Oryzias latipes: one gene and its partners. Each later gene encodes a partner of the first gene's protein in a complex. Links are inferred from orthologs where the notes say so. Each region holds a gene or a part of one and is shown in the gene's direction. Other genes may lie near its edges. The genes, in order: pole3, chrac1, pole4, baz1a and pole.

The links.
Region 2: pole3 (region 1) and chrac1 share a complex: the UniProt entries of both Homo sapiens proteins name them as parts of the CHRAC ISWI chromatin remodeling complex. The link is inferred for Oryzias latipes from reciprocal best matches to the Homo sapiens genes POLE3 and CHRAC1.
Region 3: pole3 (region 1) and pole4 share a complex: the UniProt entries of both Homo sapiens proteins name them as parts of the DNA polymerase epsilon complex. The link is inferred for Oryzias latipes from reciprocal best matches to the Homo sapiens genes POLE3 and POLE4.
Region 4: pole3 (region 1) and baz1a share a complex: the UniProt entries of both Homo sapiens proteins name them as parts of the CHRAC ISWI chromatin remodeling complex. The link is inferred for Oryzias latipes from reciprocal best matches to the Homo sapiens genes POLE3 and BAZ1A.
Region 5: pole3 (region 1) and pole share a complex: the UniProt entries of both Homo sapiens proteins name them as parts of the DNA polymerase epsilon complex. The link is inferred for Oryzias latipes from reciprocal best matches to the Homo sapiens genes POLE3 and POLE.

What each region holds. Positions count from the first base shown.
Region 1 is NC_019861.2:5,685,177-5,691,141, reverse strand, and holds pole3 (DNA polymerase epsilon subunit 3), read left to right. Parts: upstream 1-2,342; 5' UTR 2,343-2,541; coding exon 2,542-2,607; intron 2,608-4,006; coding exon 4,007-4,092; intron 4,093-4,183; coding exon 4,184-4,302; intron 4,303-4,369; coding exon 4,370-4,545; 3' UTR 4,546-4,711; downstream 4,712-5,965. UniProt on the Homo sapiens protein: Accessory component of the DNA polymerase epsilon complex. Participates in DNA repair and in chromosomal DNA replication.
Region 2 is NC_019869.2:23,125,508-23,131,346, forward strand, and holds chrac1 (chromatin accessibility complex protein 1), read left to right. Parts: upstream 1-2,508; 5' UTR 2,509-2,595; coding exon 2,596-2,748; intron 2,749-2,827; coding exon 2,828-2,954; intron 2,955-4,562; coding exon 4,563-4,642; 3' UTR 4,643-5,317; downstream 5,318-5,839. Other genes in the region: uncharacterized protein LOC101165652, read right to left, coding at 5,681-5,839. UniProt on the Homo sapiens protein: Forms a complex with DNA polymerase epsilon subunit POLE3 and binds naked DNA, which is then incorporated into chromatin, aided by the nucleosome remodeling activity of ISWI/SNF2H and ACF1.
Region 3 is NC_019862.2:30,738,806-30,744,604, reverse strand, and holds pole4 (DNA polymerase epsilon subunit 4), read left to right. Parts: upstream 1-1,863; 5' UTR 1,864-2,035; coding exon 2,036-2,269; intron 2,270-2,405; coding exon 2,406-2,490; intron 2,491-3,786; coding exon 3,787-3,828; intron 3,829-3,940; coding exon 3,941-3,954; 3' UTR 3,955-4,111; downstream 4,112-5,799. Other genes in the region: serine/threonine-protein kinase NIM1-like, read right to left, coding at 314-335. UniProt on the Homo sapiens protein: Accessory component of the DNA polymerase epsilon complex. Participates in DNA repair and in chromosomal DNA replication.
Region 4 is NC_019880.2:2,516,087-2,522,092, reverse strand, and holds the start of baz1a (bromodomain adjacent to zinc finger domain protein 1A), read left to right. Parts: upstream 1-2,065; 5' UTR 2,066-2,261; intron 2,262-2,551; 5' UTR 2,552-2,572; coding exon 2,573-2,685; intron 2,686-4,647; coding exon 4,648-4,926; intron 4,927-5,173; coding exon 5,174-5,353; intron 5,354-5,492; coding exon 5,493-5,591; intron 5,592-6,006. Other genes in the region: uncharacterized protein LOC101160205, read left to right, coding at 1,000-1,106, 1,193-1,283, 1,361-1,474. UniProt on the Homo sapiens protein: Regulatory subunit of the ATP-dependent ACF-1 and ACF-5 ISWI chromatin remodeling complexes, which form ordered nucleosome arrays on chromatin and slide edge- and center-positioned histone octamers away from their original location on the DNA template to facilitate access to DNA during DNA-templated processes such as DNA replication, transcription, and repair.
Region 5 is NC_019867.2:13,281,083-13,287,022, forward strand, and holds the start of pole (DNA polymerase epsilon catalytic subunit A), read left to right. Parts: upstream 1-2,032; 5' UTR 2,033-2,209; coding exon 2,210-2,277; intron 2,278-2,384; coding exon 2,385-2,520; intron 2,521-2,592; coding exon 2,593-2,673; intron 2,674-2,753; coding exon 2,754-2,798; intron 2,799-2,871; coding exon 2,872-2,964; intron 2,965-3,050; coding exon 3,051-3,205; intron 3,206-3,286; coding exon 3,287-3,431; intron 3,432-3,511; coding exon 3,512-3,592; intron 3,593-3,706; coding exon 3,707-3,814; intron 3,815-3,909; coding exon 3,910-4,020; intron 4,021-4,107; coding exon 4,108-4,193; intron 4,194-5,681; coding exon 5,682-5,801; intron 5,802-5,889; coding exon 5,890-5,940. UniProt on the Homo sapiens protein: Catalytic component of the DNA polymerase epsilon complex. Participates in chromosomal DNA replication.

The sequences.
Region 1 (5,965 bases):
CAAAGCGTCGGATGCAGTGGTGTAAAACACTCCGCCACTGTACTCTGAAGCAGTGGAGACACCTTCTCTGAGGTGATGAATCACACCTTTCCATCTGGCAATCTGATGGACGAATCTGGGTTTGGAGGTTGCCAGGAGAACGGTACATTTTGGAATGCATTGTGCCGAGTGTGACATTTGGTGGAGGAGGAATTCAGGTGTGGGCTTGTTTTTCTGGTCTTAGTTCCAGCGAAAGGCACCGTGAATGCTTCAGGATACCAGAAACATTTTGGACAATTCCATGCTTCCAACCTTGTGAGAACAGTTTGGAGCGGGACTGTGCACCAGTGACCAAAGCTAAATCCGTAAAGACATGGAGTCTGGTGTGGATGAATTTAACTGGCCTGCACAGAGTCCTGACCTAAACCCGATAGAACACATTTCGGATGAATTAGAGCGCAGACTGAAAGCCAGGCCTTCTCCACCAACATCAGTGTGTCACCTCACCAATGCACTTCTGTAAGAATGGTAAAAAAATCCTAGAAACACACTCCTCAACCTTGTGGACAGCTTTCCTAGAAGAGTTGAAGATGTAACAGCTGCAAAAGGTGGACCCACATCAAACTGAACTCTATGGGTTAAAAATAGACCACTTCAGTTCAAATGTAATATTTGGTAATATAGTGTACTTAATCTCCCTCATTTCTTTTTGCTTCTTCTTTTGTTTAATTTTTTGGTCTTTTTTTCTAGATTTTTTAAACAGGCTCAGAAACCTCTGACCAAAAGTTTTCTTTTTAGTCTAAAGACGTCCTCCTTTAGGTGAGTGGGTTCTTGTAAAAGGGTGGACTTTTCTTCCTGCAGCTGTTGTCTCTCTTTTTCCAGAGGTTTTTGTGTCTGAGTTTTGAAAACAAGCCTTTTCCATGTCTGGGTTCATTCGAAGTCTATCTCGGCTATGTGAGCCCCATCCCGCTGCAACCCCTCTCCGCCGCTACTTCTGTATCTCTTTGTTTGAGAGGGGAACAATAAAAACGACTATCAAACTAGGGGATCTTTTTTATTATTGTCTCGATGAAAATATGAAAGATATTGTAAGGAGACCCGAGCTGGCTGCCTGCCCATCCCACAGCAGCGCACTGTCTGTGCTGGCATAACAAGCCAACGAGCTCAGCCGCCGGAGATCACTATGCCGCTCCGGCGGCAGAAAGCGGCTGTCTGTCTGCCATCCAGCCGCTCACCCAGGGCCACCCTGCGTAGTCATCACCTTTGCTATAGTCAATGAAAACATCAATGATGCAATGCGGTAATATAGGTTTCATTCATATTATTGCTTTAAACCAGTTATCCTGTTGACAGTAAATGTGTAACTTGAAGCATTTCAGTTTATTTCCGGTTGAAAATGCAGGCGTGTAAAAGGTCATTATTGTTTCCAGGAAACGAATAGTATATTATTTTTACCCCTGTCAGGTCACGGGCTCCGTAATTATTCAACCTCAAGTAAGGTCAAGTAAAAAAAACTGTTGTGGAAGAAAGCCTTGTTAAAGCCAACATTAAAAAGACTGTGACAACAGCAATCTTATATCACCACCATGCCAAAACCCGAAAAGAAAAGAAAAGAGCAAGATAGTCTGCCTACAAAAGGCTGTGTTATAGACGCGCACAATTATGCTAACCAAACGGCTGCAACAGATGACTCAATGGAAGCTAACGACTTCACTTTGACCCCCCTTCCTGATACGCCACTGAAGTCCTCACTACTGAAAAGAGGTAAAGCTTCTGAAATGGAAGATCCTGAAGGCATTATTACCAAACTCTCTTTCCTCTTCAATTCAAGATCTGATTCCCTTGAAAAGATAGTGAGGGAGAGCTGTATGAAAATCAAAGGTCTGAAAAAACCCATTGATTTCGTTTCGGAGGGGCTGAAGGAAATGAAAACTAAAATGAAGGAGGTTGACACCCAGGTTAAAATGGGGGAACAGCGCATGGGGTCCTGTGAAAGTCGCATTGAAGAGCTGGAGCGTTATTCTCGAAGATGGAACTTGAGGCCGGCCGGGGTTCCGGAAAACAACACAGAGGATGTGAAAGCTAAAGTCATCGACATCTGCCAAAAAAAACAAAAAAAAAAAACGGAAAAACCAAAACCAAAAAAAAATAACTGTCGTTTCTTCACTTGTGTTCTCTGCTACTTATTCGGACCCCCCTACAAAATGGCGACCGCACTATATAGTGCACTAGATAGGGGTTAGGGCGGTAATTCGGACACAGGTGTTCCTGTTTGTCCCTGTGTGACATACAGTGTGTTTGCAATATTTGTCAATAAAGTTCATTTAAAAAAACTGGGCTTGAACGGAAATGACATCACAAAAGGCGGGAGGTCGCAATTTCTCTGATGACGTCCTTCCGGGAGGTTCGCGGGAAACGTCTCAAAACAAAAACGCGTTTCCGCCAGTGCTTTTAGGCTGAATCTGACAGCACGTGTCCCTTTAGCGCACGTGCGAATCCATTCAGTCAAAGAGGTGAGCTCAGCGCCGAGCAGAGTTGCGTGTTTTCCGCGCGAGCGGAGGAATGGCCGAGAAACCGGAGGATCTGAACCTTCCTAACGCGGTCATCACGCGCATCATCAAGGAGGCGGTGAGTTGGTTACCCCGGGAAGGAGCTCAGAGGGCAAGACGAGTGTCGGAGCTGCCGGACTCACCTGAACGATCGTTACCGAGCAACGGCGAAGTTTAAATGTGTGCAACCAAAACAAAGATGGCGCTCCCGCTGCCTGGACGTCCGTTCATTAAAAGATTAAAGCAGCAGTTTATTCACTAACTTGTATTTTTTGTAAAAACTAATTTAGCTTTTCATGCTATGTCATTCATTACCTACATGATGCAAAAAAAAAGAAAAAAAAAGAAGTCATTAGTTTCCAGCGTACTGCACAGTGGTGTAGTGGTCAGCACTCTCCCCTTACAGTGAGAACATGCTGGTTCAAATCCCGTCTGTGTGGAGTTTGCCTTGTTTGGATGCATGCTGGGGTCATGTCAGCCATCACTGGACTGTAGGAGTGAGATTACACTGAAGCGGTGGAGAAGCATCAACAGAGACAAATAACGTGATGGCCGTTTGCAGTACATGAAAATGACAGTACCGAAAAAAACACAAGTAGCCTCTTTGCCCGAGTTTAACCTAAAAAAAAACCTGTTCCTCAAATTAGTAGCTCACAGATCCTCCATAGTACTATTTAGTACAATACCCCTCAAATAATTAGTTGGTTTACTGTATAGTCTTTGAGTAAATCTATCACTCCAATGTGAGTAGACGTGACACTAACATCACTTAGCAGATTTGAGTTATGATCATTCCTTCATTTATTAGTAGTACTACTAAAAATAGTATTAATACAGAGTATTTAATCCTTAAAACCTGTTCTTATAATAAATAGCTCACCATTGCTTCATAGTACCACTTAGTACTTCATACAGCACTTCTACTGACAATAGTTTTAGTCTTTTCGTTTGTTTTTCTGTATAGTTTTGGACTGGTCCACTACAAGCGTCTACAATCGTTAATGATTGTGAGATCTCAGTTGTGGATTATTAAAATAATATGCAGTGAAATGAGGTGATAGTAAATGTGAGTTCTAATTAGTACTGCAAAGGAATGGTGATCTACTAATTAGAGGAAAAAGCTATTTGCTTAATCAAAATCTAGACCAAAAATCTTACATTACTTTTATGAGACATCAGTATTATGGTTTGATGTACACCTTTATGTGTCTGTGCAGAAAACAGAATTGTGTGACTGTTTGTTTTCCCAGCATGCTTTTCTCTAAACAGACATGTCATTTCCTGCTGCCACATGGTGGCACTGCAACGCTACACCAAAGGAGTTTGCTCATGCGTTTCTCAACAGTCCTGTGCTTTTCAGCTCTGCAGGTTTTTGGCAGAGATCCACCGGCAGTTCCGTGATCCGGATCTCTGGTTCTCTGAACCGTTTGGTTTCTGCCGCCACGGTTCTGATTCTCTAACGCTCTGCTTTCCCACAGCTTCCAGATGGGGTGAACGTATCCAAAGAGGCGCGCAGAGCCATTTCCCAGGCCGCCAGCGTCTTTGTGCTGTATGCAACCTCCTGGTGAGAAGCCCCCCCCCCCCCCCCCCCCCATCCACAAAACTCTGCGTTCAGCACTTTCTGTCCGTAAATAAAGACCGTTTTCTGCTTTTAGTGCCAATAACTTTGCACTGAAGGCCAAACGGAAGACTTTAAATGCTGCAGATGTGCTGGCAGCGATGGAGGAGATGGAGTTCGAACGCTTCCTGGAGCCTCTCAGAGCGGCTCTAGAAGGTCAGACGCACAAACACACAGCCTCAGAATGCTGCTGTCCAACAGCTAACAGTGTGTTCCTCCACAGTCTACAAGAAAGGTCAGAAGGGAAAGAAGGAAGTGTCTGAGCAGAAACGCAAAGAAAAAGAGAAGAAGGCAGACTGTGAGCATGAAAAGAGCAAGGAAGATGAGGAGGGAGAGGATGAGGAAGAACAACGCATGGAGGAGGAGACCGAGGAGGGGGAAGAGGAGGTGGAGAACTGAGGAGACAGACCTGTCCGACATGAGACCGGACTCTGGCTTCACAAACTGTAAAAACTGCTCTCAGAAGGACGGCTTCATTCCTGCAGTCCCCTCTCCATCAGCCAGCGGTTTGGTGTTCCCATGATACACTCTTTTGTAGTTTCAATAAATGTTTTGTATACAAGTAGAACGTACAGGTTCTTGAACCACAAGTGAATGGAGGAGAGCCCTCCAGCAGCAGATGCCAGGGTCATCATACGGAAGTCCTCCAACCACATCAGGCTGTTTGAACTGACAGGTGAGGAAACACCTGACCTGGAACCAGTTCAGTAGACGACGACCCAAAAGCACACGTACCTGTTCGGGGGCTGACCCGGATGGCTTTTAGGTTGTCTGGGCTCGTGGAGGGTTGTAGAGGATCTTAAGGGGAGCACAGGTACAGTGAGGTCAACAATCACCCTGTGATTTAGCAAGTTCTCCCACTTAGAAAACATGGAGGGGTCTAAAATTTCATCATAGGTGCATTTCCACAGTGAGAGACAGAATCTAAAGAAACATTCAGAAATCACCTATGATTTTTTAAAACAATTTATTTGTATATTACTGTGACAAAAGTATTTGATCACTTGAGTTAAACAACTTTAATATTTGGTACAGAAGCTTTTGTTAACAATGACAGAGGTAAACGGTTCCTGTAGTTCTTCACTAGGTTTCTACACACTGCAGCAGGGATTTTGGCCCCCTCCTCCATACAGATCTTCTCTAGATCTGTCAGGGCTCGGGGCTGTCGCTGAGCAACACGGAGTTTCAGCTCCCTCCAAAGATTCTCTATTGGATTTAGGTCTGGAGACTGGCTAGGCCACTCCAGAACCTTGATATGCTTCTTACGGAGCCACTCCTTGGTTTTCTTGGCTGTGTTCTTCGGGTCATTGTCATGCTTAAAGACCCAGCCACGACCCATCTTCAACGCTCTGACTGAAGTAAGGTTACGCCTAATATCTCACAATACAGAGCCCCGTTTATCCTCTCCTTAATACAGTGCAGTCGTTCTGTCCCCTGTGCAGAAAAACACCCCCAGAGCATGATGCTTCCACCCCCGTGCTTCACTGTAGGTATGGTGTTCTTGGGATGATGCTCCTCCTTCTTCCTCCTCCAAACACACAGAATGGAGTTAAGACCAAAAAGTTCTATTTTGGTCTCATCTGACCACAAGACTTTCTCCCATGACTCCTCTGGATCATCAAGATGGTCATTGGCAAACTTCAGACGGGCCTTGACATGGGCTGACTTCAGCAGGGGAACCTTCCGTGCGATACATGATTTTAAACCATGACGTTTTAATGGATTACTTATTGTAGCCTTGGGAACGGTGGTCCCAGCTCTCTACAGGTCATTGACCAGCTCCTCCCGTGTAGTCCTGGGCTGATTCTTCACCTTCCTT
Region 2 (5,839 bases), on another chromosome or scaffold:
AATAAATTAAGAAAATAAATAAAGTGAAATAATTACATATCGATTTATTGCGTTTTAAAATGATTTAATAATAGTATTGGCCGATTTGATTGACAACTTTCTATGTAACAGATTACGGGCTGTGACAAAATGAGGAAAGAAGTTTATATTGTTGGAAGGAACCGATAATGGGAAAACATCCTCTTAAACAAAAAGCAGAAGAGGGCAAGAACAACATAGCAAATAACAGCACTATAAACAAGTAAAAATTATATACACCACATATCTATAATTTCCTTTAAACATAAACATTTTTAATATAAATATGTACTTAAGAAAGATCGTAAACAGAACTGTACAAATAACTTTAGGAAATTTACAATTTGGAGTTGGTATTACGTTTAATTGTTTTCTTGCCCTGGAGAAGTGGGAGTTGGTCTTGGAAGCAAGCCTTAATGGATGGATCAGTCTGTCACAGTACAAGCTTCTCAGAGCCTCAAAAGTGCACTGTATGGGGAAATTGGGCCAATTTAATGTTCTATTGTCTTCTGTTACAGGTTTTAATTGACAGCTCAAAACAGTTCTGACCTTCTTAAGCAGTATTTTTATTTGTTTTGTGTGCTCTAGCTCCTTTTAGGACTGTTTTCTTTTTTTTTTTTGTACAGATAGTCATGTTGCTGTGACACCTGCACAGTTTGTAGCTTGGGTGAACTCCCAAATCCTTAAAAAAAAAAATCCACTATCCTATTGTCCAGGATGTTCACTTTGGCAAAAATGTACACTAACCAAAAATATAAACGCAACACTTTTGTTATTGCTCCCATTTTTTATGGTATGAACTCAAAGATGTGAAACATTTTCCACATACACTAAATAACCAGTTCTCTGAAATATTGTTCACAAATCTGTCTAAATCTGTGATAGAGAGCACTTCTCCTTTGCCAAGACAATCCATCCCATCTTACAGGTGTGCCATATCAAGATGCTGATTAGACAGCATGATTATTCCACAGGTGTGCCTTAGACTGGCCACAAGAAAAGGCCACTCTGAAATCTTCAGTTGTATCACACAGCACAATGCCACAGATGTCGCAAGTCTTGAGGGAGCGTGCAATTGGCATGCTGATAGCAGGAATGTCCACCAGAGCTGTTTCTGTTGCACATCCAACCGGCCTCACAACCGCAGACCACGTGTAACCACACCAGCCCAAGACCTCCACATCCAGCATGTCCACCTCCAAGATCGTCTGAGACCAGCCACTCGGACAGCTGCTGAAACAATCGGTTTGCATAACCACAGAATTTCTGCACAAACTGTCAGAAACCGTCTCAGGGAACCTCATCTGCATGCTTGTCGTCTTCATCGAGGTCTCGACCTCACTCCAGTTCGTTGTCGTAACCGACTTAAGTGGGCAAAAGCTCACATGCGATGGCGTCTGATGGCATTTTGAATGCACAGAGATACCGTGACGAGATCCTGGGGCCCATTGTTGTGCCGTATATCCAACAACATCACCTCATGTTGCAGCATGATAATGCACGGCCCCATGTTGCAAAGATCTGTACACAATTCTTGGAAGCTGAAAACATCCCAGTTCTTGCATGGCTAGCATACTCGCCGGACATGTCACCCATTGAGCATGTTTGGGATGCTCTGGATCGGCGTATACGACAGCGTGTTCCAGTTCCTGCCAATATCCAGCAACTTCGCACAGCCATTGAAGAAGAGTGGACCAACATTCCACAGGCCACAATAGACAACCTGATCAACTCTATGCGAAGGAGGTGTGTCGCACTTCATGAGGCAAATGGTGGTCACACCAGAGACTGACTGGTTGTCTGAGTCCCCTCAATAAAACAAAACTGAAGATTTCAGAGTGGCCTTTCCTTGTGGCCAGTCTAAGGCACACCTGTGCAATAATCATGCTGTCTAATCAGTATCTTGTTATGGCACACCTGTGAGGTGGGAAGGATTGTCTTGGCAAAGGAGAAGTGCTCATCACTATCACAGATTTAGACAGATTTGTGAACAATATTTCAGAGAACTGGTTATTTTGTGTATGTGGAAAATGTTTCACATCTTTGAGTTCATACCATTAAAAAATGGGAGCAATAACAAAAGTGTTGCGTTTATATTTTTGGTCAGTTATTCTGATGGCGGTTTCCATGGCAACACCGTACAAATTTCTGAATCAGCTCAACATCATCCCTAAATGTAATCAGTTTGCCAAAGAAAGTCTTAAATCATTTTTCTATGGTAGTTGTTTATTATACAAACTAGGCATTAGAAGGAAGAAAATTAGGAAAATTCCTTTGGGAGCTTCAGTGGTGTAAACACAAGAGCTTAACAGGTGTTTATTAAGTAGTGCTTTATACCACTTGAAGTCTAGTATCAAAGCGCAATAGAAATATTAATGAGCTACATTGTTGTTTTTACAATCCATGATTTAAAAAAAAGAAAAAGAAAAAAGTTTGACTCCACTCCATTCCAGTAGATGGCGCTATATCATCTGAAAAGCTGACAAACACCAAATGAACACGAGGAAGAAACCAGCAGCGTATCCACAACAATAGTTGTGGTTCTGCTTGTCTGTGTCGCGCAACAGCTTCGTAAAAATGTCGCAAAACCGTCCAGAAAAAGACGACCCCGCGTTAGACGCTAAAAAGACAATCTCTCTGCCCATCTCTAGAGTCCGGTTGATCATGAAAAGCTCTCCAGATGTCTCCAGCATCAACCAAGACGCTCTCTTTCTCACCACCAAGGCTACAGTAAGCTGCAGTTTCATGCTAGCTCCGTTCATTCGAGTGTCTAGCATCGTTAGCATTTCTCTTGGTTGTGTTGTTGCAGGAGCTGTTCGTCCAGCACCTGGCTCGGTCCTCGTTCAATAACGGCTGTGGGAAGGAATCGAACTCGCTGTCATACAGCGACCTGGCGAAAACCGCAGAAGAGACCGAGACTTTCCACTTTCTCACAGGTGAGACACCAACCTTCCATCCCTTTGTATTGAGTTATTCTTAAAGTGTTGGAAACCCATACACGATGCCATATTGAAGAAGATGCGTTTGTGTGTCAGTCTAAAAGTTGGACTTTTACAATACCTCCCAAAACTTCACTTTTAAAGCTAAACAGCTTACATTAACTGCACACCTCACATAACAGCTCATATAAACATTTCAACAATGATTCAATTCATATCATAATAAGTGGTTCGTAGTGGATATTGGTTCATTTTGAACAATCCGGTTCATTGACTTCTTTAGCCAAATCTTCAACCAGTGTGACTCGGCGATGTAGTTTTACAGATTCCTTGTATTTCTTGCAAGGTAATCAAGTATTATAAATTACATATGTGATTAAACAAAGAAGTAAACAAGAATTAAGGGCAAATCCATTCACATTTTTTCCCTAAAGTTCTGCCCACTGTTGTTTTTCCACATCAAAATAATACATTATTAGAACATCATACCATTCTGTATGGCCACACATCTTTGCAAAAATCAAATTGTTTCCACACATTGGACTGTAATGATTGCTTGATCATTTCCAACAATCCACTCAGTCATTTTTACATTATATGATAATGTAAAATCCAAATGGTATTTTCCAATACCAGTATATTATCAATTTATTTTATTTTAAAATTATTTTATAATGGCATAGATCAATTCGCTTAACCACCTGCCCCAGATGCATCAATCTGGTTGGATCATAGGAAGATAAATGGATTTATCTATAAAGTCAATTAATCGTTAATTGTCTTAGTTGTTACTGACTTATTTTGAGCTTCAGGTAACCACAGGTGCATAATTGGCAGCACCTGTGGTTATTGGTCTTGCTTAATGACACGTTGGTTTCTGTTGTAATCATTTGAACAGATCTGTTGATTGTTGAGATCATGCAAGAGGGCAACTTGAAGCTTTTTTTCCTCTATAAAAAAAACAACAAAACAAAAACAAGCCCGGAACCATCTCCAAACTAAAGGTCAAGTTTGATAGGACTAGAGATGTCAGAGACAGGCTGCAAAGCAGGTCAACCAAGATGGCAGTTATAAGACTTTTGTTTAGTAAACCAGTCAATTAGTAAATCTACAAAACACAAATGTCCTCATTTCTGTGCTAGTTTATATCTTCTTTGAACTCATGACAATATAAAATAATTTTTCAAGAACTTTACCCCCCTAACTGACTAGGACATTTTTAATGTGAAATCCTAATAAAACATTACAGAAACTTATTAAAGCTAAGATAGTATACCTTTTGTTAAGTTAATAATTGATATTCTAGGGGGGGGGGTATTAAAGTTTAATCCTGTATTACACTACTCATGTCTTAGGGGTATCCACAGTTTGGACAGGGTTTCTAAGCCATTAATAACTGCATTATGGGTGGGAACAGAATCCCTATTTGTAATTAAGTACAGATAATCACAAAACACTGAGTCTTTGCTTTTTTCTCAAATGGTGCATATTCTTCCATGTGTAGGGAGCTAATGGCTTGGAAGGCATTCGGCTTTTACCCTAGAAGGATGGGTAATGAAGGTGTTAACATGTGGATTTTAACTTTTTTTCTCTCTTATTTGACAGATATTTTGCCCAAGAAGATCTTGGCTCGGGATTACTTGAAGTCTTTGGAACAGATGCAAGAGGAAGATGCGGATTTATAGGAATAAGCTAATCTGTTTGAATATTTTTTTACTCAAAAGGGGCTTTCCCAAAGACATTTACTGCTTTTAAGTAAGATCAGCTCATGTGTTGTTGTTTTTTTTTGTTGGAAATAATATTAAACTAAGATAATTCTAAGATTAGAAATGAAGACTTTCAATTATAGATGCCACACAATGTCTTTTAAGAATGGCTGAAATTAATTTAAGCAAATGTTACTATTCACACTGTTCAGCGTCAGACAAATCTACTTGGCTGTAAGTTTACGGTTTTAGCAAAGATTATTTTATTTGGCTTTGATAGTTGGCTTCATATTTTCTACCGTGCTTTAGTAAAATATGTACATGGACTTGAAGTGAAACTTGGAAATCCATTACACACAATTGCGGCAAAAACATTCGCTACCACCTTAAAACACAACTCCACAAATGCTTTGTTGTCCAGCATTAATGTCCTGTTCTAAGACGTAATCTGACATGACTTAACCACCTATAAGACGACGTGGTTATGGTAACAAATGTCTGCATATTGTAGAAGAAGCTGAAGATGTGTCCCAAACCCCATCAGTAGATGGGGAATATTTTTATCTTAAAAACATCCCCTATGTATATTCATTTTTTAAAATAAAACCCCACTTTTTTCATGTCCAAGTGACTCATAAAAATTTTCTGAATGTTGAGAAATTGTTTGTATTCAATTTTGAGGATACAATAATGTCACTGTCAGCTGTAAATTACATCTTTATTTATATTTCTCAGAAAAAAAGAAAAAAAATCTACATATGTACATAAAAAGGAAAAGAATTGAACTTTTTTTCTTTTATTTTTTCTCTTTTCAGAATTACAAGTAGAGCAGTTGCGTCATGTTCAATGACGCTACAAAATCTCTGTATTTAACACAATCAATACAATATGAAGCAAGATTTATCGGCTGCATTTTCACGATCTTAATGACAGGTTTTAGGTGTTCTGCCGACAGAAGTTGCAAACAGCAAGCCTACTCTGAAGAATCCATCAACACGTACATGCACATACAGTGGTTCATAAGTAAGGGCTCTTCAGCGCAGGCATAAAGAGTTTGCCGATTCGATGTTGTGCGTTGAGCAGGGTTCTCTCTAAAGTGGAGAACTGTCTCTCCAGGCGGTGTGCAACAGCACTCCTGTCATAGATGTTGTCCCTTGTGTTGGCAAGATGCTGCTT
Region 3 (5,799 bases), on another chromosome or scaffold:
ATCCACCGAATAAGTAAATGCATGAATTGAAAACTGTCCATTTATAAATCTGAGCGTTATTTCTATAAAATTAATCTAATTTGCAGTTGTCATCGACTGTATAGCATCGAAGAAAAACTTGTAACTAATGTTGAAATGCAAGTTAAAAGCATTTGATGTTCTTACAATTACTTTTGCTTTTTATTAAATATGACAAATAAGAAAAATAATGCAACCTTTAAACAATTTCTAAGCAAGTAATGAATCACATCCAACCACTTTTCACTGTTAAAAAAATAAATTAAAAAAGTAGATAAAATTGCTTTAAAGTTACCTGGATTTTGTGGATCCTTCATCTCCGTCGCGGCCGCTCTAATACCTGACTGTGACCAAACGTGAAGGAGCTTCAGAGGCTCAATCGCTCCTCACAATCCTATTAATGCAGTGTATTAGGGAACTGCACATCATGTTCTCCGGAACGAACTGTCCCTCATGGAAAACGCTGAAATGATCATTTCAATGCCTGAACCGCAGTCGATCACATTTATGCACTAAAGTCTGTTTCTTACTGTGAAATAAAATCAGATGACCTCAGAATGAGGCAGCACCGGATCTATTCTTTTTTTTTTAAAGTCAAATACATGAACACAAAAACATCCGCAGCAAAAGAAAAACATGTGAAAAAAACATTACATCATTTAAAGAAATTATATACATTTCTTTTTTGGTTTTAAATTTAAAAAATGGGAAAAATGAGAAAAGGGGTTTCTGTCCTCGTCATTTATTTTCTTTACAAAAAAAATTAAAAAGGAATAAATCAAGCGAATATATATTTTTAAACATATTTTTAAATTAGACCCCAAAGTTGAGGAGAAGTTATATCTACCTGCAGCCCCCATGTATAGCAATCAAATGCAGTGTCGTTAACAGCCTGCAGGGCGGAGCTCTTCGGAGTGCAAAGTTAAAAAAAACAACTGCAAAGTTTCTTGTTTCTAATATTGGCATTTGAACATATTATCTGTCATTTCCTAAGCATTATTCTATACACAATAATTCTAAAGGAAATAAGAGGCTGCAGAATTGTATTTTGTGTGTCTGAGCAACAGAAAACCAACATTTTTATGTTTATACAATTGAAATTAAAATGGCTAAATACAGTCTGTTTCATTGCAAAACACTTTCCTCTTAAAAAAAGGTAAAGAGTTTAGAGGCAACAGCACAGCAGTTCTGATAAAGTCTTTTTTCTTTTCTTGAGTAAAAAACACATGTTTAAATATAGATGCTCAATAAAATGACCAAAAAAAAGTTAAAGAAATGTCTTCTGACAACATAATTGAAAAATATTTACAGTTTTCATAAAACTTAATTTGCGTTTTCTTTGCAACATTTTAACTTTTTTATTGGGTATGCAAAATTAGGGGCAATGTACAGTAAGGAAACTTTAAATAAAAACAGATTAAATGAAAAAATAAAATACATAATAATCAAAAGAAAAGAGTACCAGATATTTTCAAACCGTTTTTGTCAGGTAGTTTCGGGAGTAATTTTTAAATTTCTCTTTGTTTAGATTGTTGCTTTTAACAGCTTTATATTTAGCTTCACTTTGCTGCCACCTTGTGGACATTTTGTTTATTGGTGTTTTGTTAATTTATTTTTAACCCACTTTTTTCTTTTATCTACTAATCTTAATGAAAAGATTAAATTATATTCACCAAATTTATTTGAAAGAGTCTTACAGCTGATAAACATTTGACTGAGCCACTGAGTTGTCGGTAGTTGGGCGGTAACATTGTTTGAGTGGCAGTCACGTTTGACCAATCATACGGCTTTGTTGTCCAATCTGTCCAATCATTGACTTGAAAGCGTTGGCGGGACCAAAGGAAACTGACCAATAGGGATGCAGTGCCTCTACTAGACCGGAAGCACATGCTGGCGCGCTGCTGTTCGCCTTCGTTTGTTACTTTTATCTTTGTCATGAAGTTAGAAAGCTTAATAAATATCCGCGCGTCTGTTTTTTGATCACTTTTTGGTGGGGGGGAAAATAACTCCCCGTTCAATGGCAGCGCTCGTCTCCTCTACGGAGCAGGAGTCTGACAGGTGCGGGAGTGAGGAGGAGAACCGCGGAGTGGAAGCGGGGGACGGGGGCCAGCAGCAGCAGACGGGTCCCGCCGCACCCGGCGGCAGCCGCCTGTCCAAACTCCCGCTGGCTCGCATCAAAGCCCTGATGAAAACCGACCCAGACGTGTCCCTCGCCAGCCAAGAGTCTGTGTTTATCATCGCCAAAGCCACGGTGAGTCCCTGAACCCGCAGCCCGCTCCGCGAGGAGAAGGTTCGGCCCCGCACGGCACCATGGGATGCTATGATGGTCAGAGGTGATGATGATGATGATGATGATGATGGTGATGTTTCTCTCTTCTTCCTACCAGGAGTTGTTCGTTGAGATGATCGCCAAAGATGCTCTGGTTTACGCCCAGCAAGGGAAGAGGAAAACTCTGCAGAGGAAGGACCTGGGTAAGGCCTGAGGACGCTCCACATCTCTGCATTGTGCTCGATATTTGCCGAACTAGTGAGCATCATTTTCGCAGAGACTTCTGGGAAGTTTCTAGGGCACTGGAGTTTGGAATTGTAGGTTGTGTCCAAATTCCTTCCCTACTCACCAGATAACGCATTCGCCATGTTGTAGTGCTGTCTGAATCTACAATCTCCCAAATCCAGAGTCCTAGAAATTTCCCAGAAGTCTCTGCCAAAAACCAGCGTGCATCAATGCTCACTAGATCAGCGAATATAGACCACAATGCATTGCGTCGGAACGATTTTTGCCAAAAAATGTATTTTTTGTTAAACTATCAACATTTTTATCTTCAGAAGACATAATAAATAATCGTCATAAAACGCTCATATTAATTAGATTTTAACTTTGTGGAATCGATATTTGAAGCAGTGAGCCTGGTCTCCGAATTTCTTTTCAAATCCAGGGCACTACATAGAGCCGCTCTATAGTTTTTTAGTAGTTAGGGGTTAGGGCGGGAATTCAGAAACAACCTATAAATCAAACCAGAGTATAAGTCAAATAATAATGATAAAAAAGAAGAAATAATTATGTAGAAGTCGCACTTTGGGGAGAAATTAATTTAACAAAACACGGTAAAAAATACCAGACATTTCATCTTAAAATAAATAGCAGGTATAGACTGAATATTTACAACTTCACTACTGTAAAAGTATTTAGTTTGATGACAAATAGGAGGAATCTATTCAAATTAGTGAAACATATGAACAGTTGTTCAGATAACCATGACATAAAGAACATGCTAACAAGAGCGGCGTAAGACTGAGCGGCGCTTCTTCACTGTCAGTAACAAACATCTACAGAACACATCTGGCTCCAAACTCTGGATGGCTCCAATATCGCTCGCCATTTCTGTTGCACCGCTCATGCTAGGTTGAGGGGCTGTATGTAAGAGAGTATGTAAACAGAGAACTCTCAGACACGGTTAGGGAATGGGTTGCTATGGCCCAAGGCCCCGCCCACAACTCGCAGGTGAATTTCTACTGAACTCCTGCCACTCTACAGAAAATATGTCCACGAAACAACAAACAAACAAAAAACGGCATCATTATAATTGAAAGACGGTTTTGAAAATGGATCAACAGATGATCGGAGTGGGACAGTAGAATAAACAAATGAACATTAAATTCATTAAAATTCAAACATATTTAGTTTCTTTTTTGTGTTTCATTTGACAAACTTCAGTGGTTTCTCCTCCTGAGTTTCATTCGTTTGTTGTTGTTTTGTTGTCCCTGCAGACAACGCAATAGAGGCCGTAGACGAGTTTGCATTTCTTGAAGGTAAAAAAACCCACGTTCTTTCTGCACATGCATGTTACTGACAGCGTGTGCACAGGAACATTTCATTGACATGTTTGTGCATCCGGTAACTGTATCATTTTTTTCTCTGCAGGCACGCTGGACTAGAGACGACCGGCTTGACGGGCGGCGCGAGCGAGCGAGCGACTTCCTCCGGTCCGTTTGTGCAGAGACAAAAAGCTCTTCTGCTTAAGGACTCGTACATATGTACACTGTTGTGTAAATATTTTTGCTAAATTCACTGAAATAAATGCGTTTGAAACTACCGGTTTATTTCTAAAGTCATTCCTTGCTGCATTGTGGGTAAGGTTGGTTGCCAGCATCTTAAAATACATTTAGAATCGTTTTGATTAATAAAGTTTGAAGGAATTAAATTCTTGAACATTTTATAAAAAGAAAAGAAAACAACAGGTTTGTATTTTCAGACAGTCACAACATGATTCTGATTCATTTCCTTGATAAGTTTGTGTTTTCGGAAAGAAACAACTAAAAACTTCCTAAAAGGGTTCAAATCTAAACTGTAAACACCTAAACCTTTATGTTTTATGGACGCTGGATCCTTGGATGCCAGTACTTTATATTAGCTATTGTGAGTCGAAAGTATATTTGGGCTGAGAACATACATGTTTATGTGAAATAAACAGGCCGTCATAGTTTTTGACTTCAGAGTAAAGTCCTGAAATATTGGAATATTTGTTTTTAAAATGGGAATTGGTTCATTTCAAGGAAACAAAAACTTAAGAAAACACACAAAATGATAGATATAGATAAAACTAACTTAAGACAAGTCATGAACTAATAGTAATATAAAAATTACAGAGGAAAATAATAGAAATGCATAGTTTTAAGTATACAAGCATGTGTAAATGACATCATAAATATAATAATTTTCTTCCATACATATTCTACATGACTCATTTAATAGGATAAATATAGACTTTGGTAAATTGCTTAAGGAATGGGGCGAGGAGGGTTCATATTCCAAATAATAGCAAAGATGATTCCAAAAAAGACAAAATACATAATCACTTCAAGTAATAATAACATAAGGTGCTTATTGATTATGATCAGAAAAGATGATTAAATGAGTCCAGAATTCACGGCTGAACCACATGTGGTTATGATGTTAAATGAATGGTTCATATAGAAAGTTCATGAAACATTCATCCTTCTGGATTTTAATGATTTCCCTTTTATCTGTGAAAGCCTGAGTCAGGTGGAACCGTACAAAACGAACATTTTATTGATAGCAAAGCTGGTGGGATCTATGTGGTCTAGTTCTGCTCAATAAGTCGCAAATTTATCGTTATGGTGATATCTATCTGTGCAATACGCTTATCGCAAAAGATGGCGAAAATCACAATAAGAGGATACCGGTACTTGAAATGTGCTTAAACAAACTTATGGCACCTTGAAGTATTTAGTGAATCAAATAAATCCATTTACGCATTTGACCAATCAGATGAAGCCCTTTTATATTAGATGTTCACCTCCTATGCAGACTAGTTTCATTTGAAGTATAATTTAAGTTATTTTAACTCTTATTTAAATTAAACTGTAGCAGTGAAATGGAAATTATGTTTTTGGTTGTTTTGCTATTTGTTCATGTATCGCAAGTTATAGCGTCATCGCAATTTTGATCATTAATATCGCAAGTTTTCCTCATATCGTTCAGCCGTAACCCTTGTGCTATCCTAGGCACGTTGACGTTGGGAGTTGGGTCATCTAGACCCACTAGACAGTGCGCTGAACCTTTTTTCTTCAATGATTTGTGATCTTCACTGGTGTCCATGGATTACATGAAATCTTTCCACCTTTATCCACCTTTGTCATGGTAGGGAGAACACGTCAATGTAAAGATCGGGTCATCTGGACCCCACATGATAGCACAAGGGCTAATGTGGTCCCTTCTATTTGTACTTAGCACCTCTTTTTCCTCACAAGATGACAGTC
Region 4 (6,006 bases), on another chromosome or scaffold:
TTCTAGCATGAAGGCCTGATTCACACAGTCTCCTTTGAACAGTTGTTGTAGAGATGTGTCTGCTGCTAGAACTCTGTGTGCCATTGACCTGCTCTCTAGTCTGAGCTGCTGTTAACCTGCCATTTCTGAGGCTGCTGACTCAGATGAACTTATCCTCTGCAGCAGAGGTGTCTTCCTTTCCTGGGGCGGTCCGCATGTGAGCCAGTTCCTTTGTAGCGCTTGATGGTTTTTGTGACTGCACTTGGGGACACTTTCAAAGTTTTCTCAATTTTTGGGACTAACTGACCTACATTTCTTAAAGTAATGATGGACAGTCGTTTTTCTGTACTTAGCTGCTTTTTTCTTGCCATAATCCAAATTCTAACAGTCTATTCAGTAGGACTATCAGCTGTGGATCCACCTGACTTCTGCACAACACAACTGATGGTCCCAACCCCATTTATAAGGCAGGGCACACCTGTGAAGTGACAAACATTTCAGGTGACTACCTCTAGATGCTCATGAAGAGAATGCCAAGAGTGTGCAATGCAGTAATTAAAGCAAAAGGTGGCTACTATGAAGAACCTACAATATGACATATTTCAGTTGTTTCACACTTTTTCCTTATGTATATAATTCCACATGTGGTACTTTACAGTTTTGATGCCTCAGTGTGAATCTACAATTTTCATAGTCATGATAATAAAGAAAATGAGAAGGTGTGTCCAAACTTTTGGTCTGTCCTGTACATGTTAAGTGATTGCTACAACTCGTCTCTCCCAGCATGCCTGTAGAAAGAATGCATAAACATTTTCGCCCTTCATTGAGTGGTCTACGGGGGCCACTTGCATTTCCCAGACGACCATTTTTCGCCCACAGATGGCCCGTATCCACCCGTAAAGGCAGGTGGGACTAAGACTTCACCTGTCAACACTGATTTCATGCCCAAATTCCGGTTCATCCTTCTTCCAAACAAGTCCAGAGCTTCTCAAAAACAGTCGCCTCCTCTGCTGTGTCCAGGTTCTCCATGCTGATGTTTGCACCCAAGATGTTCTGCTGCAGAACGCAGATGTGCTGATCATGAACAATGTCTTTGAATTCTTCATGGAGCCCAGCGAGCAAGTCAGGTGGAAACACAGAGTGGCACGAAAAAGACAAAAACAAAAAAAAAAAAAGCTGCATGTCTTCTAAAAAGAGCGTTCTTTGGTTTCAGAGCATGGACTTTTATCATGCAGAACTTCAGGAGGGCAGGATGTCTGCTGGTTACTGTCCCCAGTCTGCAGGAGAGTCTGAACCATCTCCAGGTAAAACCAGCATCACCCACACCTGGTTGATGTCCTCATGACATCGTCCTCATCAAGATTTCTTTGCTCCTCTCCAGATTCAGTTGCAGCCGGGATGGCTGGAGGAGCTTCCTGTGGATCACAACGTCTATCTGGGAAAAGATGCAGACCCCGAAAGCCTCGCTCTGATCCACCTGTACAGGGTCATGTGATCGAGGAACGTCATACCTCAGACACACCTGTGCCAGGTCATGTGAACAAGGAGTATCCCACTTGTTGTTTATGTGACAAAGGACAGCCACACCTGTCTGGGGTCAAGTAATGACAGGCAATCACACCTGTTCAAGGTCATGTGACTGAAGACATTCACCCTTCTGGTTCTCCTGTGATATAGACAGAGGACAGTAACGTGTGCAGGAACAAGTGACAGAACCTGTGTAGTATCATGTATATAATTGGCTGATGTAGTCATTTGTGCAGATGTGGTTACCTGAAGACAGACACTCAACAGATCACATAAAGTGATTTATATATAATGCAAATTCAACTGATAAATAAAGCTGTTCTCTGTCTTCCATGCAAATTCTAGCTCATTATCTTCTTTGCAGTAAAAAAAAGACTAATTTTACCACACTTTTCTGGAACAATTCCTCCATTCTCCGTTTTTTATGTAAATAAAAGGAAAAAACTAAATGGGTCAGTGTTCTTGGATTCGAGAGAAGTGAAGAAGATCATGCAGGTCAATATTTTTTTTATCCAGTTCATTCATTCATTCATTCATTCATTCATACAGAGCTGGTGTTTTTCTGGAGACATCCTGTAGGGGGCGGTAAAGAACAGGCAGGTTTCATGCACTCTACCAAAGTAGTAGTAGAAGAAGAAGAATGAGTCTGAAGTGGGATAAAACTTCGTCAACAAGCCGCCAGTGAGTCGCCTCAGCCCGCGACTCTTTCTTTTATCTTCGCACCGGCGGGAGCCGTTCCATCGTAGCTCATTTTGGTAAAACATTTATATTTTTAAAAAAGTTCCAGAAAAGCTTCTTATCGCGGATTTGAGCCGCGTGCTGAGCGTTTGGCGTGGAATTGGGTCATAACCGAGCGCGTCGGCTCTCACGTTCAAGAGGAACACATCCATGCGGGCAGATTATCGGCGCGTCTAACAAAAGACTCGCTCCCCTCCTCTTCCTCACTCCGCCGCGCTCAGACTTCGGTTCCGTTCGGACGCTCCGCTTTCTTGTGTCGCCGCAGTTCGGATGTAATTGTTCGATTTTCCCTCCTTTTTTATTCCAGCGCAGAAGCGGAGCTCCCGAGATGCCGCTGCTCCACAGGAAAGCCTTCATCCGACAGAAGCCTCCGGCGGACCTGCGGCCGGATGAAGAAGTGTTTCTCTGTAAAATCACCCACGAAATCTTCCGGACCTACGAGTGAGTAGCCGCGAGGCCACCGATAACCGCGGCGGGGAGTTCGTGAAACTTTCTGTACTAACTAAGCTAACTTTTTTTTCCGGCTGGAGGAGGAGGCTGTTGCGGGTGGGGGGTGGGGGTTCCCTCCGCGGGTCAGGTGTCTGTCTGACCGGCCGGTGGGGCAGGTGGCCGGTTAGGGCAGCCCGGGTTTGTTGGCAGGAGGAGGAGCCGGGAGTTTTGACCGGGAGTGAGCAGCGACGCCGCCTGAGTGTCAGCCGCTCGTTAGCCGTTAGCAACCGATCCGGCTGTAGCCGCCGAACGCGCTCGCGCCACGGCGGTAAAAGTCGTTCCACCATTTAGAGATGCTAAGCAGGAAAATAAATTCCGAAAAAAATCTCCTTTCTGAGCCACATTTTCCCTTTTACACACTTATTTTTGAGTTGATGTACTTTCTCAGGAGTAAAGCTGAAGAAGATGGTGACACAAAAAACGACCTGCTGGGTTTTCGCTGCTTGTTTATCAGAACCAACCATAACGTTCACTAAGTGTTGTTTTCAGTGATAAAAAGCTTTAATCACGTGTCATTTCCGCTGTAATCACGCCGAAACGCGGTTATTACAGGATTTAGACCAAAGCTGCGTCTGTCTGGGCGGATTGTCTCTTTATTGGAGTCGAAAGGTTTAATCTGCCGATTAAATAATAAACCAAAAAATACAAAACAAGTTTTTCTTCCCCTGTTTTTTTGTCTTTGTTTTGCTTTGGCGTTTTTCTGTTTTGCTTTTGCGTTTTTTCATTTAGTTGAAACATGTTTTGTGTTGCCAATGTATGAAAGTGCTTTTTAAACAAAGTTTGATTTGAATCAAAAACCTTAAATTCTCATCTTGGGATTAAATGTCTCAGGACTGGAACTATTAAAAAACAAAGTAAAGTCAGTGTAAAAACATTTTTTAAAAAAAATTAAAGGTATGATTTTCTCTTAAAGCTGTTTTCTTAATAGCAAAAAAAATCATACTAATTGTTGATTGAATGAAATAAAAATGTTCATATTGTTATACGATATCTTTATTGTATGAATCTACTTGATTTTGCACTTAAATTCGTCTTTGTAAAATATACAATTACATTAAATTAATTTAATGCAAAGTTATTTATTGATCATTTGCTCCACTGGTGACATTTATTTCATAGTATCCAATACTTTCTTTATTGCACCAATGTGATCTCATTTACTTAATTCTTTTATTGTTAGAATTCTAAAATGTTATTTTGCTTCTAAAACCAATAATTTGCACTCTCGGTTGGATGTTGACTGTATTTCACACATGTTCAGTGACAAAGTAAAATACATTCTAATAATAATAATACCTCCTGAAAAATGGCACTTTAGATTAAATTTTGTCAAATCAGTCGTCAAAATAATCGTGTTAAAAGAGAAACTGTGAATTTCTGGACCAGAATTGCGTCGATTTAGTACTTGGCCCTCAAATCCTGAGAGTTGGTGCACATTTACTGAGTAGTGAACAAAATCCAGCTGACGTTTGTACTTGTTTCAGTTCCACTCCAGAGATCCAGACTTTTTATTTAACTTCGTAAGACCCGAACTTTAATTTGATGCCATTTTTATTTTATTTTTTAAACTTTCACTAGACCTGTGTATGCCAGGTCGATAGAGGTTAAAGTGGTTCTATTTAAGTTTCTACGATTTCTCAATATTAGCCCTTTTTCACGTATTTTACATCCTCACAGTGTTTCATTTTTGGATGATATCATTTTTTTTTCTTTAAGCTTTAGTTAAAGACAGTTCAGTGTGACAATCCATTTAGGAACTCTGAAAGGTTTAAGATGCTGACATAGAAGTCAAAGAATATGAGTGAAAGTGGAGAAATCGGCTTCAGTAAATAGTTTGAGCCGATTCTAATCTTCGGATCAACTTTTGTCATGTATGCGGATATCCACACGTGAACATGTACCTCCCTTCCACAGTGAGTTCTTCGAGAGGACCATCCTCTGCAACAGCCTAGTGTGGAGCTGCGCGCTCACGGGGCGAGCGGGCCTCACCTACTTGGAGGCGGTGGAGAGCGAGCAGCGCGCGCGGCAGAGCCTGCGCAGCTTTCCTCGGGCGCTGCTGGTGCCCCTCCTCCACCTGGCTGCGATGAGCCAACGCAGCCGACTGGTGGAGCTTTGCGAGGACGTCTACGGTTTCGTCAAGGACCGCTTTTTTCCCGGGGAGGTGGTGGAAGTCAGCCGGCGCAACGGGGCCAGGTACGCACTGGGGAAGTGCCGCATCGCTTTTCAGGCTGCACAGTTTTCATAGTAACAGATGCTGCTTTAGTTTCAGTTCACCGTATTTGTCGGTTTGTGACTGAAAATTATAAAGAAATTGGTGTTCTTGTTCTTTAATCTTTGTGTTTTTGGGAAAACTTTTTTTTTTTTTGTTTGTTCTTGTTGTGGTTGGTAGTTTGACCTCCGAAACCTCGGCACCGACACCGAACTGAATCTTGTGTTCCAGGCACATGTGTGAGATCCTGGAGGTGCACTCGCCTTACTCCAGCGCCAACGGAGTGGCGCCCACCAACGGAGCAACGGGCACCAACGGCCACACCGACCCATCTCAGGTGGACACCATCGTCATCAGTGACAGCGATGAGGAGGACGACGCCTTCCAGAGTCCCGTCGTACACGTCAAAGGGTCAGTCAGGCAGATTCTGTGCTGCTATAAAACTCTAAAACCAGCTTTGAAAAATAAATGTTCCTCCTTATTTGAGTTTCGGTTAATGAAATGAGAATCAGATGCTGGTTTGAGTTTGAACTCTGCGTTTGTTTTCCAGGAAAAAAAAGCCTTTGAGTCCTTCTGTGTTCAAATACACCGTGAGGATGATGAGTGACAAACACAGCGAGCCGTTCACCGTCAAAGCCAATCAGATCAGGTGAGGAGCTTCACCTGGAGTTTGTTCTGCCGGTTCAGAGAGGTTCTGTGACCACCGATCCAAATGCAAACTAGGGTTTGCAGTCTGAATGGTCTGGTTTTTGGTAGGCCTGGGCGAAAAATCGATTGGATGAATTAATTAGAATATTTTGTTACAGGCGATTTAAAAAAACAAAAAAAACAACGAAAAACTCAATCGACTCCTGCTGCTTCATCACCGCGATGATCAAAAATCCCACACCGTCACAGCTCAAGTTAAGATCTTGTGGGACACATTTGCAAATGGTACCCATATATACCGTGGAGAAGACGAGGGTTATTAGTTTAATTAAAACCTTAGCCCCCAGATATGAATTGTATTGTTTTAGAAAATGGTGCTACTCTCAAGGTGAATGTTTGTCTCCTTTTAGTCTAGA
Region 5 (5,940 bases), on another chromosome or scaffold:
GATTCATAAAAAATGAAAAGAATAGCAGTGTTATTATTTTCTGAGATGCGTCACACATTTGCTGGCTGCAGAATCTTATAAGACATGTACTTGTGAATAAAAATACTTCCTTAAGTCAGATTTATAAATCTTTTACATCTACATTATTGTGTTAAATGAGGTGGAATAAGCAAGGTATACTGTAATAAGGTCACAAGTGTATCAGAGAGCCACACATGCAAACCCAAAACTGATCTAATGAATCATTTCAAAGACCAGTGGAGTCTGGGGGGAAAAAAAAGCATTCAAGGAAAGTTCACGCATGAGAACGTCAGCCGTAATTTATACCAGTAAATGAATCTTACTAGAAAACAATGAAAGTACTGCATTACCAGGTATTTAATTTGATGTAGTTAATACAGTTATGCAATAGTCATAATATTCATTAAAGTTACTAATTGACAGTTTTTCTGTCACATAATCATTTACGATTTTAAATTAAGTCAACATTTTCTAATGGCAATATTTTAATTTACTACATTTTTTTAAATCAAAATAGTTAATAGGCAAATATTTACTTGGCTTAAGATGTAAAGAACTGATAATGTTTAATTTAGGGGACCTCATGACCTTGTTGTGGCCTTTAATGTATTGAGACAACTTGACGTGTTACATTTGTGTCCCTTGCAGTTCAGATATAAGCACATTATTATTTGGACAGCGAGCAGAATGTGAACACAGAAACAGCTTCAGAGGATAGACATTTTAAGTGCACAGTGACGAGTAAAGAAACGATTAAAAAGTGTAAGATAACACCCTCACATCAGCTTAAACATTACGTAGGATTAAACAGATTTACACAAAGTTTCTATAGGTATGTGGGGTTAACGGTGCCAGCGGGTCCTGGCAGGAGACATTCCCCAGCAAGGCTCCAGTAAACAGGCTGAGAGGAACAGCTGCCATCGGAGCTGAGGGTGGCTCCTCAATGCAGGCTAAAGGTCAATACTGAGGGACAGAATGTATTTTGTACTGAAATGGAAACATCCATGCAATCAGCCTTTACAAACATATGGATGCACACGAGAAGAACTGTAAAAATGATGGGCTATACCATTTGCAGTTCATGCACAACAAATTGGAATTTCTTAGAAAAGTATCTCATTGAATTTCTAGTTTTAAAAAAAAGGAAATATTTATGGTTTTATGTCAACTGGAGGAATATGTTCCCTAAAAAATACATTAACATATTTTCTTAAAATACTTTTTATGATTCAGAGTTGTGTCCTTATATGTAAATTATTTTTTAAGCATTACAACTTATTTGTTAGTATGTTTCTTTCTATTTGACCTTATTACTTAAAAAGATAATATTTAGAGTATAAAAATGTGACTGATGCTTTAACAAAGCTGGGAATTTGAATTAAGGAACAAATGACTTGTTTATCTAACAGGAAATGTGCAAATATGAAATACATTCGAATAGCGCAGGAAACAACATAATCAGCTACGATCTGAAGGCTACATGCGGGTCAAGGCCACCTACCACAACCACTGCACGTTGTGTCATCCACTCACCGCCGTCCAACACCTCCTTCAGCAGGTTATAATAACACTACAAATGCACATGAGAAGGAGGGGCGGGGTTACAGTGAGGCTCCTCCCAGGAAGAAGAAGAGGAAGAAGAAATCTCCAAAGATCGCACATTTGTCAGAAGTCACACTCCATTTCTCTTTAATTCAAGTCAAGAACAAAACTAATTGTACAATCACTGAAAAGCGTCATAGGTCCACTTTTTACCACCTCTTTATTGCAAATTCTCTCGGAAAATCTGAATGTTGTCAAAAAAAAAATCTTAGTCATAAATTTCCTGGTTTTACATAAACTCATTATTATTAGCGTTTTCATTGTTTTTATCTGAAAGATAAATATTTTTTCTTGTCATAATATGAACTGTAAAAGCCAAATCACCCGAAAGGAAACATTGAAACAACGAATAAATTAGGAGTGAATGTTCTCTTTAATAAACGATTGTTTTCACTGAGTTTTGGTCTCGCGATAACAGCAAGAGCGCGCCAAAGCAAGAAAAACACAAACCCTACCTGCAAAATTGCCGAAGGAACCAGGAACATAAACTTCAAGCGTCTAAACTTATCAAATGTGAATTATTCTACCATTGGAAAAAGACTACTCGTTGACATTATTTTTAGTAGGGAAAACTATTACATAGAAAATGGTTCTTCAAAATAGTGGACGTTACAGGACGGACCGCGGACCGAATGGAGGAGACCAGGAAAACCAGTGAGTGGCTTTTTCACCAGGCAGCTCTTGATTTATTGTTTATCCACCGACAAAGTATGCTATTAGGCGGAAATAAAAATGCTATGATGCTTATGTGTCTAAACCAGGGATGATGGGTCCTCGATGTCGGCCCTCAAGAGGCTGGAGCGCAGTCAGTTCACCGATGACATGGACGCTCGCTTCGGATTCGACAGGATGAAGGAACCGGGGGAGAAAACCGGGTGGTTGATCAACATGCACCCAGTAAGTCCACTTCTAGTCTGCCGCGATTTAGGGAATGGTTTGGAGAGGACACTGACTGTTTTTCATTTACAGACAGAGATCCTGGATGAGGACAAAAGAATGATCAGCGCTGTGGATTATTATTTCATCCAGGAGGATGGAAGCAGGTTTAAGGTTAGTGTAACCTTTAAAAATAGATTTGATTATTCAAATATTTAGTTTAATATTTACCTTGTGATATTTACTGTCTGTAGGTGGCCCTTCCCTTCAAGCCTTATTTTTATATTGCTACAAAAAAGGTACATTTTTTTAACTTAGTTTAGCATCTTTTCTGTGTAAAGAAAGAGCATAATCGGGTTTTGTTATTCCTAGAACTGCGAAAGAGAGGTCATATCATACTTGTCTAAGAAGTTTCAAGGCAAAGTGGCCAAACTTGAAATGCTTCCAAAAGAAGATCTAGATCTGGTGAGTTTAAAAAAAAAAATCAATGTGGATTTGGTTTTAATCAAGTCAAGTGGATTAAAAGAAAAAAAAACACCTGCTTTACCCAGCCAAACCATCTCGTTGGACTGAAGAGAAACTACATCAAGCTGTCGTTCAACACCGTGGATGACCTCATCAAAGTCAAGCGGGAGATTGCTCCTGCCGTGCGCAAGAACAGAGAGAGGGAGCAGTCGCATGATGAGTACACCTCCATGCTGTCGAGGTATCAACAGCTCCTCTAAGCTGATCTCCCGTCTTAAGATGAGTGTGATGGAGACGTTTCTCTGCTTTGTTGTTGCTTTAGCGCGTTGTCTGGAGTCGGTGTGACCACAGCAGACGAGGACGGGATGTCAAAGAGCATCGTCGATCAATTAGACAATGTGGTGGACATGAGAGAGTATGATGTGCCTTACCATGTCCGACTGTCCATCGACCTTAAGATCCACGTTGTAAGAAGAACTTGACAATAAATTGTATTTACTTTTTGGACATCTGGCTTTGCTTCATTTAGTGTCTCTACTTCGTTCAGGCTCATTGGTACAACGTTCGCTACAGAAGCAACGCTTATCCCCTAGAGATTATCCGCAGGGACGATCTTGTGGAACGACCAGTAAGAAGATTTTTATATTCCTTTTTTAAAACGGTATCTGTAAATAATTTCTGCTCATACAAAATAACATTCTGGGGTCTTTAGTTCATAAGTTTCACAGAAATCTTCTTACAGGATCCAGTTGTTTTGGCCTTTGACATCGAAACCACCAAACTTCCTCTGAAATTCCCAGATGCAGAGAGTGATCAGATTATGATGATCTCCTACATGATAGACGGGCAGGTGTGTTCAACTTCAAATGGTTTTTTTAACAAATTTAAAAAAAAAAATCTTTCAAGTTGTGTTGTTTCACACCAACCCCTGTTTTATCTCCTCAGGGGTTCCTTATTACAAACAGAGAGATTGTCTCTGAAAACATTGAGGATTTTGAGTTCACCCCCAAACCTGAATATGAAGGGCCCTTCACTGTTTTCAATGAGGACAATGAGGTTCGTAGCTCTCACATCGTAATTATAACAACAGTTGCAGGTCTACAGGTCCTTGAAAAACATACTGTTTCTTTTCATTGGCTGCAGGCTGCTCTCATACAGAGGTGGTTTGATCATGTTCAAGAAACAAAACCAAACATCTTTGTGACGTACAACGGAGACTTCTTTGACTGGTGAGTTTGTGTGTCAGTATATGCACAGAATTTTGAGGAATTTCTCAACATGGTTGTTCAGCTGCACGAAGACCAGAGCGGCCAGATCAGGCTCAATAGCGACCTTTCAGACACTTTCCCCATCATCAACGGCGTAAAACAGGGCTGTGTCCTGGCACCCACTCTTTTTACGATCTTCTTTAGCATGATGCTAAAGCAAGCCACTGATGGCCCTGATGACGAGGATGCCGTGTACATTCGCTACCGCCTCGATGGCAGCTTGTTCAACCTGAGACGACTGAAGGCTCACACCAAGACCCGTGAGCAAATGATCAGTGACCTCCTCTTTGCTGATGACGCAGCTCTCCTAGCTCACACCCAGAGAGCACTTCAGCGACTAACTTCCTGCTTTGCAGATGCTGCCAAGCTCTTCAGACTTGAAGTTAGTCTAAAGAAGACAGAGGTCCTCCACCAGCCAGTACCTCGGGAAGTGTACCAGCCTCCCCATGTCTATATTGGAGAGACAGAACTAAAAGCTGTCCAGCAGTTCACCTACTTGGGGTGCACAATTACCTCAGATGCCAGGATCGACAAAGAGTTAGACAACAGGCTCGCCAAGGCGAATAGTGCCTTTGGCAGACTCCACAGTCGGGTGTGGAACAACAAGCACCTGAAAAAACCCACCAAGATCAGTGTATACAGGGCAGTTGTGGTGACCACCCTTCTTTCCGGCTCTGAGTCTTGGGTCACTTACCAGCACCATCTGCGAGTCCTCGAACGTTTCCACCAGCGCTGTCTACGCACCATTCTTGGCATCCATTGGAGCGACTTTGTCACCAATGTTGAAGTCCTCGAGAGGGCAGACATCCAAAGCATAGAGGCCATGCTTCTTAAGTCGCAACTGCGGTGGGCTGGGCATGTACACAGGATGGAGGACCACCGACTGCCAAGGATCACTCTGTATGGCGAACTTGCATCAGGCCAGCGAGATAAAGGGGCACCAAAAAAGAGATACAAAGACTCTCTTAAGAAATCCCTTGGTGCTTGTAACATCAACCATCGTCAGTGGTCTACTTTGGCAAAAGACCGTGACACCTGGCGCCAGTACATCAAAGACGCTGTCTCCTCTTTTGAAGACAAGCGACGGACTAGGCTAAAAGACAAACGGCAAATGAGAATAGCCGGCCTCACGACTGCACCGAATCCAGAACAGACTTTCACCTGCAGCCTCTGCTACAGGATCTGCCTTTCCCATATTGGATTGCTCAGCCACGAGCGAGCTTGTAGAAGACGTGGACAGCCCTCTTCATAATCTTCGTTTACGAAGCCTCGCCATGATATGCACAGAACATTCTACAATCTGGTTTTTGGTGTGATTTTTAGTGTCGTGTAACACTCCGATTATAAGAAGATCTGATGTTTCATCTGAATTTAGTTTTTAAAAATGGAAGAAAATAGGCAACTAAAACTTTTAATGCAAATCATTTTGACTTGTTTTTTTCTCTCTAGGCCTTTTGTTGAGACTCGAGCTGCCGTCCATGGACTCAACATGCACAGAGAGATCGGTTTCCAGAAGGACAGCCAAGGAGAGTACAAGTCCAGCCAGGCAATCCACATGGACTGTTTAAGGTGTCAACACAAACGACACAGTATCATATTGAACGGTATTTTTAATTATACAGATTTATCACCACTTTCTCCTGTTTCAATGTATCAGGTGGGTAAAAAGAGACAGCTACTTACCCGTGGGGAGTCACAATCTGAAGGC